2 linked regions of the Oreochromis niloticus genome follow. Each later gene encodes a partner of the first gene's protein in a complex. Links are inferred from orthologs where the notes say so. Each region holds a gene or a part of one and is shown in the gene's direction. Other genes may lie near its edges.

Evidence for each region.
Region 2: the proteins of dld (region 1) and dbt are in contact, whole or in part, in a crystal structure (PDB 3RNM), measured with the Homo sapiens proteins. The link is inferred for Oreochromis niloticus from reciprocal best matches to the Homo sapiens genes DLD and DBT. Residues at the interface, in NP_000099.2 of Homo sapiens: Ser446, Thr447, Asp448, Arg449, Glu472, Tyr473, Gly474, Ser476, Glu478, Asp479, Arg482; in NP_001909.4 of Homo sapiens: Thr174, Pro175, Ala176, Lys196, Arg199, Leu201, Lys202, Glu203, Leu206.

The regions. Positions count from the first base shown.
Region 1 is NC_031972.2:3,411,955-3,421,349, forward strand, and holds the start of dld (dihydrolipoyl dehydrogenase, mitochondrial), read left to right. Parts: upstream 1-5,393; 5' UTR 5,394-5,510; coding exon 5,511-5,549; intron 5,550-6,610; coding exon 6,611-6,686; intron 6,687-6,988; coding exon 6,989-7,068; intron 7,069-7,185; coding exon 7,186-7,254; intron 7,255-7,795; coding exon 7,796-7,865; intron 7,866-8,436; coding exon 8,437-8,537; intron 8,538-8,632; coding exon 8,633-8,776; intron 8,777-9,056; coding exon 9,057-9,158; intron 9,159-9,297; coding exon 9,298-9,395. UniProt on the Homo sapiens protein: Lipoamide dehydrogenase is a component of the glycine cleavage system as well as an E3 component of three alpha-ketoacid dehydrogenase complexes (pyruvate-, alpha-ketoglutarate-, and branched-chain amino acid-dehydrogenase complex).
Region 2 is NC_031986.2:35,936,564-35,945,032, forward strand, and holds the start of dbt (lipoamide acyltransferase component of branched-chain alpha-keto acid dehydrogenase complex, mitochondrial), read left to right. Parts: upstream 1-4,381; 5' UTR 4,382-4,472; coding exon 4,473-4,520; intron 4,521-5,522; coding exon 5,523-5,652; intron 5,653-5,868; coding exon 5,869-5,944; intron 5,945-6,589; coding exon 6,590-6,771; intron 6,772-6,847; coding exon 6,848-6,975; intron 6,976-7,059; coding exon 7,060-7,312; intron 7,313-7,407; coding exon 7,408-7,574; intron 7,575-7,658; coding exon 7,659-7,736; intron 7,737-7,821; coding exon 7,822-8,013; intron 8,014-8,104; coding exon 8,105-8,176; intron 8,177-8,469. Other genes in the region: tubgcp5 (gamma-tubulin complex component 5), read left to right, coding at 1-29, 114-234, 314-465, 1,223-1,348, 1,723-1,805, 1,978-2,078, 2,657-2,703. UniProt on the Homo sapiens protein: The branched-chain alpha-keto dehydrogenase complex catalyzes the overall conversion of alpha-keto acids to acyl-CoA and CO(2).

The DNA.
Region 1 (9,395 bases):
TGCTGAAGTAGTATATATACTAGTATATATACTACTTCAGCAAGTTGTCTTTTGTAACCGTTGTGTAAAAACCTGTACAAGTCTCTACTGTGTTTAGAAAAGTTTAACATTGACGTGGACACTACATGTCCCCTTAAAATTTCCACTTTAGCAAATGTCACTTGCCAAGCGGTCCTTACCTTAGGGAATAATCTTTTTTTCCTTTTCTTTCCTCTCCTCTCTTTTTCTCCTCTGTAATCCACAGCAAAGTGTATGTAAATCCTGCAAGCACTTTTCAAAATGTTTCATTCTATTAATGTTGCGATGACAACATTCATTTGAACAAAAACCATTCTAAAGGCGTCTGACACATTTGCTAAGCTCCACCCCCGGTTGATGTTGAGAAGAAATAATCAACCTGGTTTCTAGATTTCAAAATGTCATGTTTTTGTCATCTAAAGCTAAAGCCTACTATTGTCACAAGGGGGCGCTCTGATGCAGTTTTTCGTTACGATGTCCTTATGTCTTGTGCGCGGAAGCATTGTTTTTTTTTCACTTTTAAAAACTTTATTTAGAGCAAAGACAATGACAATCTCAAACAAACAGTGAATCATTGAATCTTTCACAACATATCACACCTTTTTTTTCTTAATCAGAGGATTATTGCAGCATTGTAGTTGGTATGTCACAGTCAAACTAACAATAATTGTAACTAAGTATATAAAAAAAGTAAAAATAACTAAATAAGTAAATAAATTAGAAAAAGATTAAAGAACAAAAATAAAGGAGATAAGGGGGGCATGAAAATCATTAAAAGTGAGGTCTTATAAATAAGACATATAGCTTAAATAAGGGGCAAAGGGAGAAACATTCTTCTAAAAAATTTATGCAATTTAATTGCCTGCGGCTTATTTATTAGATTCAGAGATTTACGCAACAGGGAAAATTCATTTTTAAGAACAAGCCATGAAGGGGGGGGATTTGGCACATCAGCATTTATGAATGTAATATTTTGTTGTTATAATGAGATTGTTTACTAAGAACTCAGTATTTTTGTCCTTGACGATTACTCCTATTTGAATATTCTGAAAAGACCAAAAACCAACATTTGTAGACCAGGATGATATTAAGTCATGGAGAGATTTCCACAAATTTTGGAAAGTCACCCATAAAACATGTGCTGTGTTGTTTCCAAAGTTGTTTTACAAATATAACAATTGTCTGACACAAATTTAAATCTTTCTTTCATGAATTCATTAGAGGGGTCGATGGTTTTTGTAGTTTTAAAATGAACTTTTTTAAATTTGGGGGTTTGGGAATTTTAAATATTTAGTTCTGATCAAAGAAATCTCACATTTGTTATAATCTTTTAGAATGAGTGAGCATTTTGTCCTACTTGAATATAAGGTGTTAACCAAATACTTCCTCCAAAACTGATTATTGCATTTTTCATTAACAAGGTCTGGACCATCTAATTTAATTTTACGTAAATTTGGAGTTGGTATATTTTGCGTTGATAAAAACTATCGGGATATTCTGTGAAACGTTTTTGTAGAGCTCAATTGAACCACTCATGCTATGTTTCTCATTAAACCTGTTTAATTCAAGTATATTTCTGTTTTCATCCATTATATGTGTGACAGACCAAATTTGTTTTGTCATTCATTCTTCCACAAACATAGATTTCCCCCGATTCAATATCACCCTATTATTCCACAGTGGAACTTTGTGGGGACTAAAGTTATGTTTGAACATTAATCTCCAGTTTAACAAAACTTGTTGATGAACTTTGGAGAGTTTTATGAGAATTTGATATCCCCGACTTTGTTGAAAATAAGAGATATAATAAGAGGTATCAAGAACCAGATCTCATCATCATTGTTTAGCCAATTAAGCTTTAACATTCCCTTCATTATTTCAAAATCACTTGCTTTTAAACCCCCCTCTTCATAGTCTTTTATAAAGTCCCTGCTTCTGATATAGTGAAGTTTTTTCCCATATGAGATTAAAATTAATCTTATTGATTTCTTTTAATATCCTTGGTGGGATGGCTAGGGAACAAGCTGGACAGATTAATCTGGACAAAGATTCAACCTTGGTTAACATTATCCTGCCGAACAACATTAAATCTCTCTGTAGCCAATTGTTTAAAGTGTTTTTGCATTTGTCAATTGTATTCTGAATATTCTTTTCTTCACTGTCAGCCATGCATTTAGTTATCCAAATTCCAAGATATTTGATTTCATTTTTGACAGGTATATCATACAAGGAGGAGTGAGAACAATTATGGATACTCATGAGTTCGCATTTGTCCAGGTTCAGGCGTAGGCCAGAAGCATCAGAGAAAATCTTTATTGTGTCTAAGCCAAATGGAATTTGTTGGATTTTGGAATTTGGCAATCAGTTTGCATGCTTATTCTTAGTATGGTTAACTAATTGGGATTTCAAATATGCAGTCTACTGATTTAATATAAAATTAAATATTTGGCTGAATTGTTTTATTTCCATACAGCTGAATCCTCCCCAGAAAACCAAAGCAAATGTTTTTTAAAAAATAATTTCACCTGAGTAACTGTGTTATTTAAAAGATTAGCCACAATCAGTGTCAATTTTCAGAGTTTCTTTCAGTTAGTAGCGTGTTTTGGATTCATCAGTTTAATTTTAATAAAGGAGTTTTCAGAGAACTGGTCCAAAATTAGAGGTTAATAGGAGGAAGAAAACATAAAGAAATAAAATAAATTATAGCCTCCACACATTGTCTGACTTTTGTGAGCTGAATTATTGTACGATAATGCAGTTACAGTTTTTGCTTTATGTCCATTTATCCTCCCAGTGTGGTCATGGCTGCTGCCAGCTGTCTGCTGTCTGAAGACCAGTTTCTGTGCTGCATCTGTCTGGAAGTGTTCACAGATCCAGTCAGTACACCATGTGGACACAACTTCTGCAAGAACTGCATCACTCAGTACTGGAACAGCAGTCCTCTGTGTCAGTGTCCAGTCTGTAAAAGGAAGTACTACACAAGACCCGAGCTCCATGTCAATACTTTCATCTCTGAGATGGCTGCTCAGTTCAAGCTGTCAGCTCAGCAGGAAGCCAGCAGCAGCGGAGGAGAAAACAGAGGATGAAATTCAGGAGATGATCCAGAAAAGAAAGATTAAAATTGGGGAAATGAAACACTCTGTGCTGCTCAGTAAGAAAGAGGCAGACAGAGTGACAGCAGAAGGTGTTCAGATCTTCACATCTTTAATAGAGTTTGCAAAGAGCAGCATGAAAGAGCCGATCAAGACAATTGAAGACCAGCAGAGAACAGCAGAGAAACAGGCTGAAGGCCACATGAAGGAGATAAAGCAGGAGATTTCTGAACTTATGCAGAAAAGCTCTGAGGTGGAGCAGCTCACCCACCCTGAAGACATCCTTCACCTCATCCAGAGTTTATCTTCCGTGAAAGCTGCTGTCCCCACCAAAGACTGGACCAACATCAGTTTGGATGGTGGGGAGAATTATAAATCAGGTGGAGAGGAATCTCAGAAGTGAGTTAAGTAGAGTGACTGAGGCTGAGCTGAAGAGGGGGTTACACAGTTAAGTTAAAATTTAACCCTGATTTTGTCCCTGATTCAGTTCAACCCAAAGCTCCCCAGTCTGCGAATGGTAATTGTATATGTGTTTTGTCAAACCAGGGTTTCTCTTCTCAAAGATTTTACTTTGAGGTTAATGTTAAAACCCATCGTACATGGACAGTAGGAGTGGCCAGATATGTGAGCAACCTGAAGAGAGAAAGCACCAAACTGAGCCCTGAAAATGGTTACTGGACTGTTTGCTCGGGGCCATGGTGATCAGTTGATCCATCTGTGAATTTAAGAACTGAGAAAGTGGGAGTGTTAATAGATTATGATGAAGGCCTGATCATTTTTTATGACATTCATGGTGTAGCTCTTATTCACTCATTAATTGGCTGCTCTTTCACCTAGAAACTCTACCTGTTCTCCAGTTCCTACCAAAATAATGGAGTTCAAATCCACACCGGTAAATGTTTGATATCATAGATAAGTGTCCTAAAAGGTGTTCTAAAATAAATCTACATAAATAAGGGGAAAAAAGAGTTTTTGCTATTTGAATTGTTTTATTTTACACCCGTGAACCTCCCAACAACTGCCACAGGTTTGTATTAAGATGAACATTTTTGATGATGACATTTTGTGATTTACACTGTTGAGAACCTATGAAAATGTTTTAATACAATCTAAAATAGAAAACTTTCATTTTGGAGGCAGTTTCACTGACAAAGATACAATTTATACACCGTAAAATATAACCTATAAATATAATACATGTGGGGTAGTTGAGGAGGGAAAGGTTAATCCACTTAGTTAAGACTTGCATGTGTATATCTGGGTTGCTTTTTTAAAATATTATATATTATAAATCTAAGCTTCAATAAAGTGATTTTTTAAGTGTTTTGTGTGTTAATTTAACTCAATCATCTCACATCTTCTACAATGATTTCAGCAGGTGGTTTAAAGAGCTAAATGTCTCCACCTAGTGGAGTTTATCCCACACTGATAAATGTGCCCCTGCCTTTACATCTCTGACACTTTATTTGTCTCATAGAAGCAACTTGTGCAAAAGTTGAAAACCTCTGTTTCTTCTCTGTGACGCCACATTTCTGCTGATGTGTTGATTCAGATATTAAAACAACGATGCAGAAATGCTCATGTTAAACGAATTCACACTTAATTTTCCGATTGTGTGCCTTTAGCATCATCTTTCTGTGATGTTACATTCTTTGTTGGGCTGCTTGTTACAGCTGCAGTGGACATTTTCCCCTAGTTTTTTGTGAGCATGGGGGATTGTGCAAAATTTACAGTTAACATATGGCAATTTGCAGACCAGATTAAAATTCGCAAAGGCTTCGATTTTGTCATTTCCTTTTAGAAATGACTTTTAGATAAGGCATGAACTGAGTGGCTGTAAATCAAACAAAAGTTCTCCCCACTCCTAAATCCTGTCCTGTCTGGCAGCTTTTGCAATCAAAATTAGGATCTGTTGAACCAAATACATTTTGCTTTTCCAGGATGAGCTCTATAAATATAGGCTTCTCTTGTTTCTATTATCTTTATTTATTCATTTCTTCAAAACCTTCACCAATTTAATGTCCGTGACGTAGATTTTCTTATTTGTATGTCTGATTTTATTGTGAAGCACTTTGTGATTTTTATCTGTGAAATGTGCTATATAAATAAATTTTATTTACTTTTACTTTACTAAGACCAACTTACTCACGGTAGCAAACTTTCAATATTCAAACTTATATATATATATATATATATATATATATATATCTGTAAAATTTGTTTTAAAATGATTTTGTTTTAAAAAATAACATTTGTTTACCCTTCGCAAACTTTGACGTGTAATAGATGCGACCCGGAGGAGTTTTCTGTTTGGACCCATACTGCGCTTGCGCAATGATAGGAGTCCTTGGCTGCTCGGCCTGCTGTAGGTTACGGATCCAGTGAGGGTACACCGACAAAATGCAGAGCTGGACACAGTTATACCGCTCCCTGGCCACGGTAAGCATTCATATTATTTTCGCTATAACCAGTATGCGAAACCCGGATGTGTCGTAAACTGTCCTGCGTGCTGCAGATCTAGAGGATAGGGGAAATTTTAGACCTGCGGCCCACACCTGGCTAGCTACTCGGCTAACAGCAGAAGGCGAACCAGACTGTACTGGAAAAAACATGCAATTTGGAGTTGTTGTGGTTATCGATGTCTAAACACGTTGCTTGATTTTCAGTTGATGTGTTACCTATTCATATACCTTTTTCCTTTTAATTCGGCATGAGTTAGACTAACAACCTTCCCCACATTTAAACTAAATCACGACTTTTCTGGTTAAATATTGCTGCAGTATTTTGAAGTAAAACCTGCAATGAAAAGAATCGTGATATTTGTATTCTGCTAATATTAAAAGGGCTTAAATCACACAAAGCTAGAAGAAAAGCATCTAGGTTCTATGACTTGGCAGTTGACATTTCCCACTCTGGTGTCGTGTTAGCTCGCTTAGCTGTTTAGCAGCGGTTGCCTAACTCTTAATTTATGTCGTAAGCTCAGCTGTTGTCTCACAGCTTCAGGGCGAGCATCCCGATTATTCCGAATTGTTTCGGGGCTTTTAGAAGCTTTGCGACTCTATAACACTTAAATAGTAGTTATTTGCTAACTTGGTAGTCTGCTAAAGGGGAAAGTTTCAGAGTTGCTAGTGGACAGGCTGAGGGTGTCCTTGCTGAAAGCTGGCACTGCAACAGCAAACCAGCTGAATGTGGTACAATTCCATGAAAACAAGTGCATGAGTCTAAATATTAAAATTTAAATTTTAGTTTAGTAGTTGAGTTTGCTCCTTCGTGACTCACTAGGCTTCAGTATCTGAGTATGCAGCTTTAAAAGGAAATAGTAGTGACGTAAATAGAAATTTTTAAGCAGCAGATTACTGAAGTGAGAGAAGCCACTGAAGACAGATACTTTTAGTTTGCAAAGTTGGCTTGTGATGCACTATAACATTGTTTTTGTGTTGCATTGCCTAGTTGTATTGTGCATGTGTATTTTCTAACTGTGCATTTTGTTTGCTTCACAGCGGAGCCACCACCTGCCCTGCAAAGTGCACGGAGCTGCAGCGCTGTCTGTTCGGACCTACGCTGACAAAGCAGCAAGTACGATTGTGCTGTAAATCTTATCATAGGACTTTATTTATGGCACAGTGTTTACTGAACTGTAGCCACATGTTTGTGCAGTTTGATCTCTGATGTTTGTATCAAAGCAGTCTCATAATTCAGACTTGCAGAGAGTCTCAGGTGCTGGATTTGGGTGGGGATAGGACTTCATGGACTATGTAAAGAGGGGTGGTAGAGAGCTTGCATTAAAATGTTCATTTACATACACCAGACTTTAATCATGTAGTTTTGCTCTGGTGGCGTAAAGTCATGCTAAAAGCTGCTGTGTTGCCTCTCTGCAGTTGATGCAGACGTCACAGTGGTGGGCTCCGGTCCAGGAGGCTATGTCGCTGCAATCAAAGCTGCACAGCTCGGCTTCAAGGTAACCCACCTGCCCAACAGATATCCTGCTGTCTAAACAGATCCCACAGATGGTCACAAGTGGAAGTTTTTGGTGAATAATGAATCCCCTGTCTCTAAATTTGTTATTCTTTGACAGACAGTGTGTGTCGAGAAAAATCCCACACTCGGCGGGACTTGTCTCAATGTCGGCTGCATCCCCTCGAAGGTAACAAACTGCTTTTAATCTCCACAAATTCACAGGTTTGTTTGTAAGAGGTTTGATCAGTATGATCGTTTTACAGAGGAAGGAGAGATACCAAGGATGTTTTTATCTTGGGTTTGGTTTTTCTTTCAGAACTTGTACACCTTTAGTATAAAAGTAATCCAGTGACGGTTGTCTATCCATAGATATATTATAAAGGGTAAATGCTTCCATGGAACACATTTGAGTAGTACAGACAAAAATTTTGCCAGAAAGAACAGCAGCACATACCGGTAGCATCTTTTTATTGTCTTGATGAATTCAAAAATAAGCCAATACTTCTGGGTTTAGCCAAACAGAGTGGGAAAAACATTTTCAACTTCATAATAACGACTAAATTTCACAGAGAGAGGAAAGCAGAACAATCTTCACCTAAAAAGAACTTTTCAGTTTGGTGATAAGCACTGAACGTAAGATTGATTAAACTATATTGAATCCGTAAAATGACGTAAACGTGTATAAAGTCATTCCTCCAGCTGAATAAGCTGCTGTTTTGTTTCTGCAGGCTCTGCTGAACAACTCCTACTTGTACCACTTGGCTCATGGGAAGGACTTTGAAAGCAGAGGCATCGAAAGTAAGAATCACCATCAGGCTTTAAAGGGAACATTTTGTGTAGCTTACTGATCCTTAAAGGGGGCTTATTCTGCTCATTTCCAGCTACATGTTATAATTTTGAGCTCTAGTAGAGCTTTGCATGATTCAAAGTTCAAAATAATCCTTCTTTATGTCATAGAGGTTTTTGTGCTGCCCCTCAGTTAATCCTGTCAGAAACAAGCTGTGTTAGCTCTCCTCGCTTTAAGCCAACCCTCTTATGATTGGATGCCCCTCATAAAAAAAGGTTTGACCAGCAGTACATGCTCTGTGTGCCTGAAATGACTATAGTAGAGAAATCCATTGTCTTAACCTTTCAAGTAGATTTTTTTTAGCCAAGATTACACTGAAGGTCATTATTTGCAGCATTAGCCATATTTAATATAAGCATATACGTTATTATAACACTTGTGTCTGTATTCCTTAGTATTGGATGCTGATGGCACAGAACATGTGTTTTCGACAATACACTTTAATTGAATGTAACTTGTTTTTCCATCGATTTCTTAGTTTGACATTGTGACCGCATTGACAATAAAGTCTTTGTCTCTCAGTTTCAGGCATCTCGTTGAACCTGGAGAAGATGATGGCTCAGAAGAGCGGGGCTGTCAAAGCGCTGACCGGAGGAATCGCACATTTATTCAAGCAGAACAAAGTCAGTCTTCCCTCTCTGCCTTAGTGCTTGTTTACACAGGTGTTACATCTGAACCACTTTTAACAGTGTCTGTGGTGTGGCATCACTCCTCACAGGTTACCCACGTTAATGGTTTTGGAAGGTTAACTGGGAAGAACCAAGTGACCGCCACAACAGCTGATGGTACCGAGCAGGTCATCAACACCAAGAACATCCTCATCGCCACAGGCTCAGAGGTCACGCCCTTTCCAGGCATCCAGGTATGAGAATTTGTGACCTGTTCATACTTCCATTTCACTAGTTGCAGGTTTTTTGCTTGTCGTATTCACCAAAGGAGGTGGAGGAGGCGAGGAAGGTACATGAAGAGAGGAGTCAGTGCTGCAGATGTCTAACAAAAGGCGTCCTCGTCTCAAGAGCCTCATGTCTCACACATGTCACCCCCTCCTTTCATCCCTCCATAAAAACTCACATGCACTTGGTTTTTAAAGGATAATTCTGGGTTGATTTTTAAAAGAAGTGTGTTCAAATATGTTTCTTTAGATTGATGAAGAGACCATCGTGTCGTCGACAGGAGCTCTTTCTCTGAAGAAAGTACCAGAGGAGCTGATTGTGATCGGAGCTGGAGTCATCGGGGTGGAGCTGGTCAGCATCACTATAGACTGATTCACCCACAAACACATGATTATGTCGACTACATCTGCAACATTTCCTGCCTCAGCTCAGTTTCTTTAGAAAGTCGAGTTGCACTTGTCAGACGTGTGTTTGTCCTGCCATCCTGCAGGGGTCAGTGTGGCAGCGTCTGGGTGCCAAGGTCACAGCGGTGGAGTTCCTGGGCCACGTGGGTGGTATGGGCATCGACATGGAAATCTCAAAGAACTT
Region 2 (8,469 bases), on another chromosome or scaffold:
ACCTGGAAGTCCTCACGCTGAGCTACAAGGTGAACACTGCAGTTTGTGCTTTGGTGTCTGTCGGTGCGTTGTTGAATCCGCCACCTGACGTTTCCTGGTGCGTGTCTGCACAGGTTCCCTGGCCCGTGGACATTGTGATCAGCTCTGAGTGTCAGAAGATCTACAACCAAGTGTTCCTCCTCCTGCTGCAGATCAAATGGGCCAAGTACAGTCTGGACACGCTTCGATTCAGCGGTACAAGCTCCACCTGAAGCTGTAAACTGAAAATAAGCCCGTCTTAGTCATTTCTCTGATAAATGGTTGTTACTCGTAGGTTTTACAGACGTCACTAAGAAGCTGGAGGGCGCCGCAGCCGAGGAGGTCAAGGTCAAAGAGCGCGTGAACCAGCAGATCCACAGGATGTGTCTGCTCAGGGTCAAACTGATGCACTTTGTCAACAGCCTTCACAACTACATCATGACGAGGGTGAGGCAAACCACCAAACTGACCTCCTGCAAACAGGATGTCGCATCCATGACATTCAATTCACTTCATTTTTATTTGCACAGCACCAAATCACAACAGCAGTCACCACAAGGCGCTTTATATTGTAAGGTAGACCCTACAATCAAATATACAGAGAAAAACCCAACAATCATATGACCCCCTATGACCAAGTGCTTTGGTGACAGTGGGAAGGAAAAATTCCCTTTTAACAGGAAGAAACCTCCAGGTGAGCCAGGCTCGGGGAGGGGCGGCCATCTGCCACTACCGGTTGAGTGAGAGAAGGAAGACAGGATAAAACACGTTGTGGAAGAGAGCCAGAGATTAATAACAAGTATGATTCAGTTCAGCGAGGTCTATTAATAGATAGTGAGTGAAGAAGAAGCACCCAGTGCATCATTGGAATCCCCCAGTAGCATACACCTATTGCAGCATAAATAAGGGAGGACATCACTCACATTTACCCCTCGAGCGCTGCTGTCGACATAGTAGTGCCAGCAAACGTTTTTATAATGAACACCATCAGGACGCTGCTCGGTAGGGAAGATCAGCAGCTTGGCACAGCGAGCGCTGATCACGTGACAGTGAGCGGGCAGCCTGATAACTCTTCCTGTCATATTTACTTCTAGGGTTACATAATAAAATCACTTCTTTAAACGACCCCCTTTAATAAAAAGAGTCCTCACTGCACTCTCAGTTTGACTAACTCTGGCTCTTCATCTGCTTTGTGTCTTGGCAGATTCTGCACAGCACTGGACTCGAGTTTCAACACCAAGTGCAGGAAGCCAAGGACTTGGACCAGCTCATCAAGATCCATTACAGATACCTGGCCACGATTCACGACCGTTGCCTGCTAAGGGAGAAGGTGAACATTTATGATGGCGGTCTGACCGCTGACACAATCAGCTGTAAAGACGGTTGCTGTTTGTTTGAGATGATGAAAAAGCGTTCGTTCTTTTACGAACGCAATGACCAGCCTGAGGCGTTTCTCAGTTTTCCTGCTTTAGCACAAAGAAATGTTGCTGCACCATCAGCACCGCTGCTTGTACACTGACCTTACTGTACTGTGTGATGGCGGGCAAGTAAATAAATTGGATCTTATAAGACAGTGATTCTTTATGTTTCCAGAAAAACTTGTAAAACACTGTACTGTGGGCGGGGCCAGAACCTTCAGTAGGCCGAATCTCACTTTGGCTCCCTGCTCAGACTCACCTGTTTCTACATGTTGTGTTTTCTCAGGTCAGTTTTGTGAAGGAGGCGATAATAAAGGTTCTGAATCTCGTCCTCATCTTCTCGGACAGATGGCAGGCTGGAGCCTGGAAGTAAGAGTGATGTGTCTATTCAGTGGTGTTGATGTGACATTCGTGGTGCACGCTGCGTGTGTGTGTGTGTGTGTGTGTGTGTGTGTGTGTGTGTGTGTGTGTGTGTGTGTACACGCATCCAGGTACAGAGACGACACACCTGCTCTGCAGCTAAATGTTGTTTCTCTTTCAGGATAGAGTCCATCGATAAAATGGAGTCTGATTTCAAAAACTGCCACATGTTCCTTGTGACGATCCTCAATAAGGCGGTGTGCCGGGGCTCCTTCCCTCACTGTGAGTCTGTCGTCTGGGTGATGATGTCAAACGCAGTGATTGTGTACGGTGGTCCAAAGGTGCAGAACATCCAACTTGGAAAAGCTTAAATGTAAAATCGGTTGGTGCTTCGAGGCTGTCGGGATCCAGCTGCAGTGCTCGGTGTTTCCTCCAAACAGAGTGTGTCCGCAGTTTAGAGGGGATCGACTTCATAAGTGCACGAGATATCCGCACGACATTTTCAGGCTGAAAATGTCGTTACGAGGGCTCAGGCGTGTGTGGTCGAAGTTTTCCAAGGGCCAATAAAAGCCGACCTTCGGTTGTTGACACCTGCATCATCTCAGACTCAGGAACCACAAGTCTCCTGCAGTCTGATCCTTCTAGGTCAATTTAACAGGAAATGAAAGTAATAAATGAGAAATAGGATGTTTGTGCTGGTCATCCTGTCAGCACACAGGACTGAATGATTGAAAAACCTTTCCAGTAAATGAAATATGTGTTTGGGACCTCTTGGCCACCGTAGCTGTCCAGTTAACCTCGTCTTGTTGTATGCTGTGAGCAGAGAGGAGCTGATGACGTCTGTCTCTCTTGTTGTGCAGTGGAGTCTCTGGCGCTCTCTCTGATGGCGGGATTCGAGCAGTGCTGACGAGCTGGACACGAGCACGCTCTGTGATGATGTCATTGTCTGCTGAGATGGACTCAGACCGGCCTGCTGCTTCTCCGCAAATTTCAAACATGAATGCTTGTATTTTAATATTAATAACGTCTGTGACGAGGCAGAATAAAAATGACTTGACAATACATGGTGACATTTGACTCTGTTATTCACTTTACGTTGTGTAAAGGACCATGACCCGACACACTGGGTTTTTTAATTGATTTTGCACTCATGTACAGCGTCCTGGTTCGGCACACACACAATCGTCAGCTGTCTGCATACTGTCCCACTTCGGTCTCCACCCTCACTATACGAAGGGAGGAACCCCATTAGTTTAATCATGTCCACCTGTCCCTCCAACCTCCCTGCATCACCCATCCCCTGCAGCTGAGCCAAGGACCACACCTCTGCCACACATTGATAATAAATTAATTGTTGACTGCACGTATAAACTGAGGAGTTCTCAGAAGCTGCTGCTGTTGGAGCAGAAGAACGGGGAGGGTTGCCTCAGGAAGAGCGTGTAGTGTAAAATATTTGTCAAATCAAATGCACCATATGACCAAAATAACAGCACACAGCGAGACTGAGGCCTTCAGCAAGGAGGCTCTGCACACAGAGGTTGTTCACAGTAATCCAGCCCCGAACGTCACAAACAGCTGGCATTACTGCACCACTAACAGGAAAACCCACACACAGGTGTCGTAATTCAAGTTTATAGACATAAAGGCACAAAGCGCTGTACAAAGAAATGAAAATGCAACAGCAACACAAAACCATGATGCTACTGCTCAGCCACAAGCCACCTTTATTTTTTAAGGAGAGTGAGGTGCATTCAAAAACTTCCTCCTTTTTCTAACCTCCATGAAAATGTAATTGAGCTGAAAAAAGAGGTGAATATTTTTGTAAGCAGCATATTCCAGTAATGTTAATTGCAGGGCAGCGTATGCATGACACTATGACTGAGGGCTGAGCCCTTCAGGTTTGATTCTACAGTCCCCTGTTTGTAGCTGTAAGGACTTGTGTGCAGCTAACTGCTCAACTGCACATTCTTATGGTTCTAACTGTAGAAACTGATGACCCTGTAGAGATGAAATCTGATTAATGTGATGACACTCTGCATTAGTGATTATGGTGTATGTGTATTTGTACGTGTGTGTGTATGTACATGTCTATACTTATAGATACTTATAGATATCTTTTACTCACATAGTAATAGTAGTAGTAGTAGAATAGTTTTTAATGTATTTCTTGCATATTTCCACAACTTGTATCAATAACATATTCTGGGTATGTGTGTACATAGAACCTCAGCTACCATTGTATATATTGTATTATCTTATTTATTTTGTATTTGTTGACTTTATATTCTGGTATACTCTTTGTATTCTTCTACTATCTGTACCTGAGCTGTGGTAACGCACAAATTTCCCCGCCATGGGATCAATAAAGTCTTATCTTATCTTACCTTATCTGGACAGGTGCACAAACGGCAGCTTGCTGATGTCATGATGCTGACCTGTCTTTAAATAAACAACAAATCATTTTTATTATTAATAATGGATAAAAACCGTGGAACGTCTAAGGCTGTAAAAACCAGGAAAAGTTTAATGAATCAGTTTGTTGTTCATTAGCTCTCCTGATCGTGGCGCCATCACACCTGTGTGACGTCTGCGAGCCCTGCGGGAAGCAGCAGAAGAAGAGAGGCCGGCGCTGCGCGCTGATTGGCTGCAGAGAGGGGCGTGCAGCGGAGCGTAGAGATGGCGGCGGTGACCAGAGGCTCTCTCGGCGCGTTCAGGCGGCTACTGGTGAGCAAATACAGGCTTCGTGTTCTCGTCACAGGCTCTGAAAGCGCTTAATGCTAACCTGCGGCTAATGCTAACGGAGAGTCTCCGCAACGTCACCAAGCTCAGTGCGTTAGCATAGCTAGCCAATGGGCTAGCTGATGCTAACCCTAATGGAATGAAACAGCCTCTGAGTTAGCATGCTTTGGCTAACAGCTAACAGCTGCGAGTGCTTCCTGATGGTCAGCAGCTGTTTCCGGGTCAGGGTCTGAGTCAGAACCAGAACCGGCAGTGTGCGGGTTCTGGTTCTGACCCAGATCTGAGCTCAGTAATATTCAGAGCTTGTCCTGCAGGTGAAACTTGCTTCACCTGCTGCCGCCAGGACAGGTGTTTGTTCCAGACCTCAGGAGCAGATGTGGTTTCAAACGACGGAAACGACGTGATTGACAGGTGGTCCTCCAATGATGTGTATAAATTTTAAAGCGAACTTTCTGTTTTATTTAGTGAGAAGTGACATGGGAGTGAGACAGCTTCGAGATATTCAGAGGAAACCTGCAATAAGAAAAACACCTGAGCAGAGTTTCTGTCAGCGAGTGACAACCTGAAGGCCATTTCCCATCATCCCCCACTTCCTGAAAGTGTCAAAGTCAGGCTTAGCGTAATCTTCAGTGACTTGGCATAAATCAGTGTAAATGCACTCGGTTTCCTCGTTTACATGCAGATGAGGAAACATAGATCTGGTGCCACAGTGTCAGAGGCGTGTGTGATGTTTTTATTGGCTGGCATTTCTTCTCTGTTAGGGTTACATCACCACCTTGTTTAAAGAATGTCCGTATGCATCTTTATTAGAAGCTGAAGGAGTTGTGAGCTAGTCTTCATGTTTGAGTTTCGGAGTGCTGGTCCTGGTCTGACATTCAGGACCTGAAGGAAGAACCATCAGGCCCTGAATATCAGGGGGCGTGGCTTAGAAGCACCTGTGTGTTGGCTGGTCCAGGTGACCTCTGTTATCTGCTCTTTTCCCGTCAGCTGAGTCAGCAGAGCCGCAGATGTTTCCGGCTGCAGAGCTTCAGATGTGACAGGACTCTGCAGCCAATGACCTTCAGGTGTGACAGGAAGCTCCAGGTGTTCAGCTGCAGAGGGCTGCATGTCGCTGTGGGTAAGTCCAGACCGGCAGCACCTGAATCCTGGCCTCCTCTGATCTCTCTGCTATTGCCATGGAGATCTGTATCATGGTGAACTGTTCTGGGTTTTCAGCTGTTTGATGGACTCTGGGAGAATTGAGGCAGATCACTCATGGTGGTGTACGCTGACCTCCATCAGCAGATTGTTCTGTTTCTCTGTGATCGTGTCACTGTTTTGTTTTGTCCGGCAGTGAATCAAGGACCTATCGTGCAGTTCAAACTGTCTGACATCGGTGAGGGAATCATGGAGGTGACCGTCAAGGAGTGGTACGTGACCAAGACAAAAAAAAAGAAAAAAAAGAGTCCAACAGCTCCGTTTTTTATTGTCATGACAAAATTTTGGTATTATTTTGTTTTTAAAATGAAGCAAACCTGAAACCCCAGAGTTTGTAAAAGAACAAACAGGTGAACATATGAAACGATTAGGATGTAACACCTGTAACCTGTAATGAAGGATGGCCTGTTAACTCGTTACACTCCAGTTTGTTCATGTAAATGGAGAGTCCTCTTCACACACTAAAGTTAAATATGGAGTTCAACAGGGTTCAGTGCTAGGACCAGTTCTGTTTACATTATACATGCTTCCCTTAGGTAGTATCATCAGAAGGCATAGCATCCATTTTCACTGCTATGCAGAGGACACCCAAGTTTATCTATCCATCAGGCCAGATAACACACACCAATTAGTTAAACTGCAGGAATGTCAGGAAGTCCTAAAGCCCTGGATGACCTCTAATTTTCTAAATTCAGATAAAACTGAGGTTATTGTACTTGGGACAGAAAATCTTAGAAATATGGCCTCCAATAACACTTTGAGGAACCTTGGAGTCATTTTTGACTAGGATATGTCCTTGTGCGTATTCTGTTCTTGTGATTTGCCACTGCATAAATAAATCTGGATTCCTCTGGCAGGTACGTGAAGGAAGGAGACAAAGTTTCTCAGTTTGACAGCATCTGTGAGGTTCAGAGCGACAAGGCATCGGTCACCATTACCAGCCGCTACGATGGGGTCATCAAAAAGCTCTACTACGATGCAGATGCCACGGCCTTTGTGGGAAAACCGCTGGTGGATATCGAGACGGAGTCTGGCTCAGGTGAGGCATCAGCAGGTCTTCACTCGTCCACCCGTCCAAGTTCACGGCTGAAAGTCTCACTGCTGTTATCCTTCAGAGGTGATCCAGGAGGAGGACGTGGTGGAGACGCCCGCCATGGCTCGAGAAGAACACACCCACCAGGAGATCAAAGGTCACAAGACGCAGGCCACGCCTGCAGTCAGACGCCTCGCCATGGAGAACAATGTAAGTGTGATTCCTATTTGTCCGCACCGGGTTGTCCCAGTCTGTCCCACTGTGTTCCCAGTTGAGGTGTCGCTTTGTCCTCAGATAAAGCTCAGTGAGGTGGTGGGGACTGGCAGAGATGGGCGGATCCTGAAGGAGGACATCCTGAACTTCCTGGCAAAGCAAACTGGAGCCATCTTGCCTCCGACACCTTTCCAGGAGATCCAGACTCCGCCCCCGGCCCCTGCTGCTGCTCCTGCTGCTGCCAAGCCTGTGAGCACTAAGGTGGCTGTGAAACCTCCACCCGCTACTCCTAAACCTGTCTTCACTGGCAAGGACGTGACGGAGCCCCTCAAAGGTCAGAGATTGCTGTCAAGCCTAAGTGTTGCGCTGTTCACTGCGAGACTTGCATGTCATCTCCTTTCTCTCTAAACATTCTGATTGGCTCTTCAGGTTTCCAGAAAGCGATGGTGAAGACGATGACTGTGGCGCTGAAGATTCCTCACTTCGGTTACTGTGACGAGGTTGACCTGAGTCGCCTGGTGGCTCTGAGGTCAGAGCTGAAACCTCTCACCGAGAGTCGTGGCGTCAGACTGAGCTACATGCCCTTCTTCATCAAGGTTGGGGGTTAAGGCGCCATGCACGAGCTGCTGATCGATTGCATGTTTGATATTGAAGTTAATGCTTTTCTCTCATTGGCTCAGGCTGCCTCCCTCAGTCTCCACCACTTCCCGATCCTCAACGCCTCGGTGGATGAGGGCTGCCAGAACATCACCTACAAGGTAAGAGCATGCTCCGAGCCGGCTTCGCTTCCCTGGTTGCTCGGTGACGTCATTAGTGCTGACGGTGGTGTTTCCTGTGATTCAGGCGTCCCACAACATCGGCCTGGCAATGGACACAAGTCAGGGTCTGCTGGTTCCCAATGTGAAGAACGTCCAGCTGCTCAGCGTGTTCGAGATCGCCCTTGAGTTGAACCGCCTCCAGGTGCTCGGAGCATCGGGTCAGCTGGGGACTGCCGACCTGATGGGGGGCACTTTCACACTGTCCAACATCGGATCTGTGAGTCTGACAACAACAGCGACACGAAAATATCACAACAGTGCTGAGAGAAGCCATATTGACCTCACTCTGCTTGCTATGTTCGAACCAGATCGGAGGCACTTACGCCAAGCCCGTGATCCTCCCACCCGAGGTTGCCATCGGAGCGCTAGGAAAGATCCAGGTGAGCCCTGGTCAGACCGAACACACAGCACATACAGAGTCAGGTTTGTTTTAGTTTAGCATGAGAGGAAAAAGGGTGAATAGCACAAGATATCAAGGATCGCAATAAAGAACAAGAAGATGGTCTAAAGTGTACCTCACCCTGACTCTGATTACCTGTTCTGTTTCATTATCTTTAAGAATATAAAGCATTTGACCTGGTTTGGAAAATATTAAATATGAATTTATTGGAAATCAGTGTCTTCAGAAGAATGATGTTCTCTGACCTTTCGGAGGAGGGCTTTGTTCCTCACA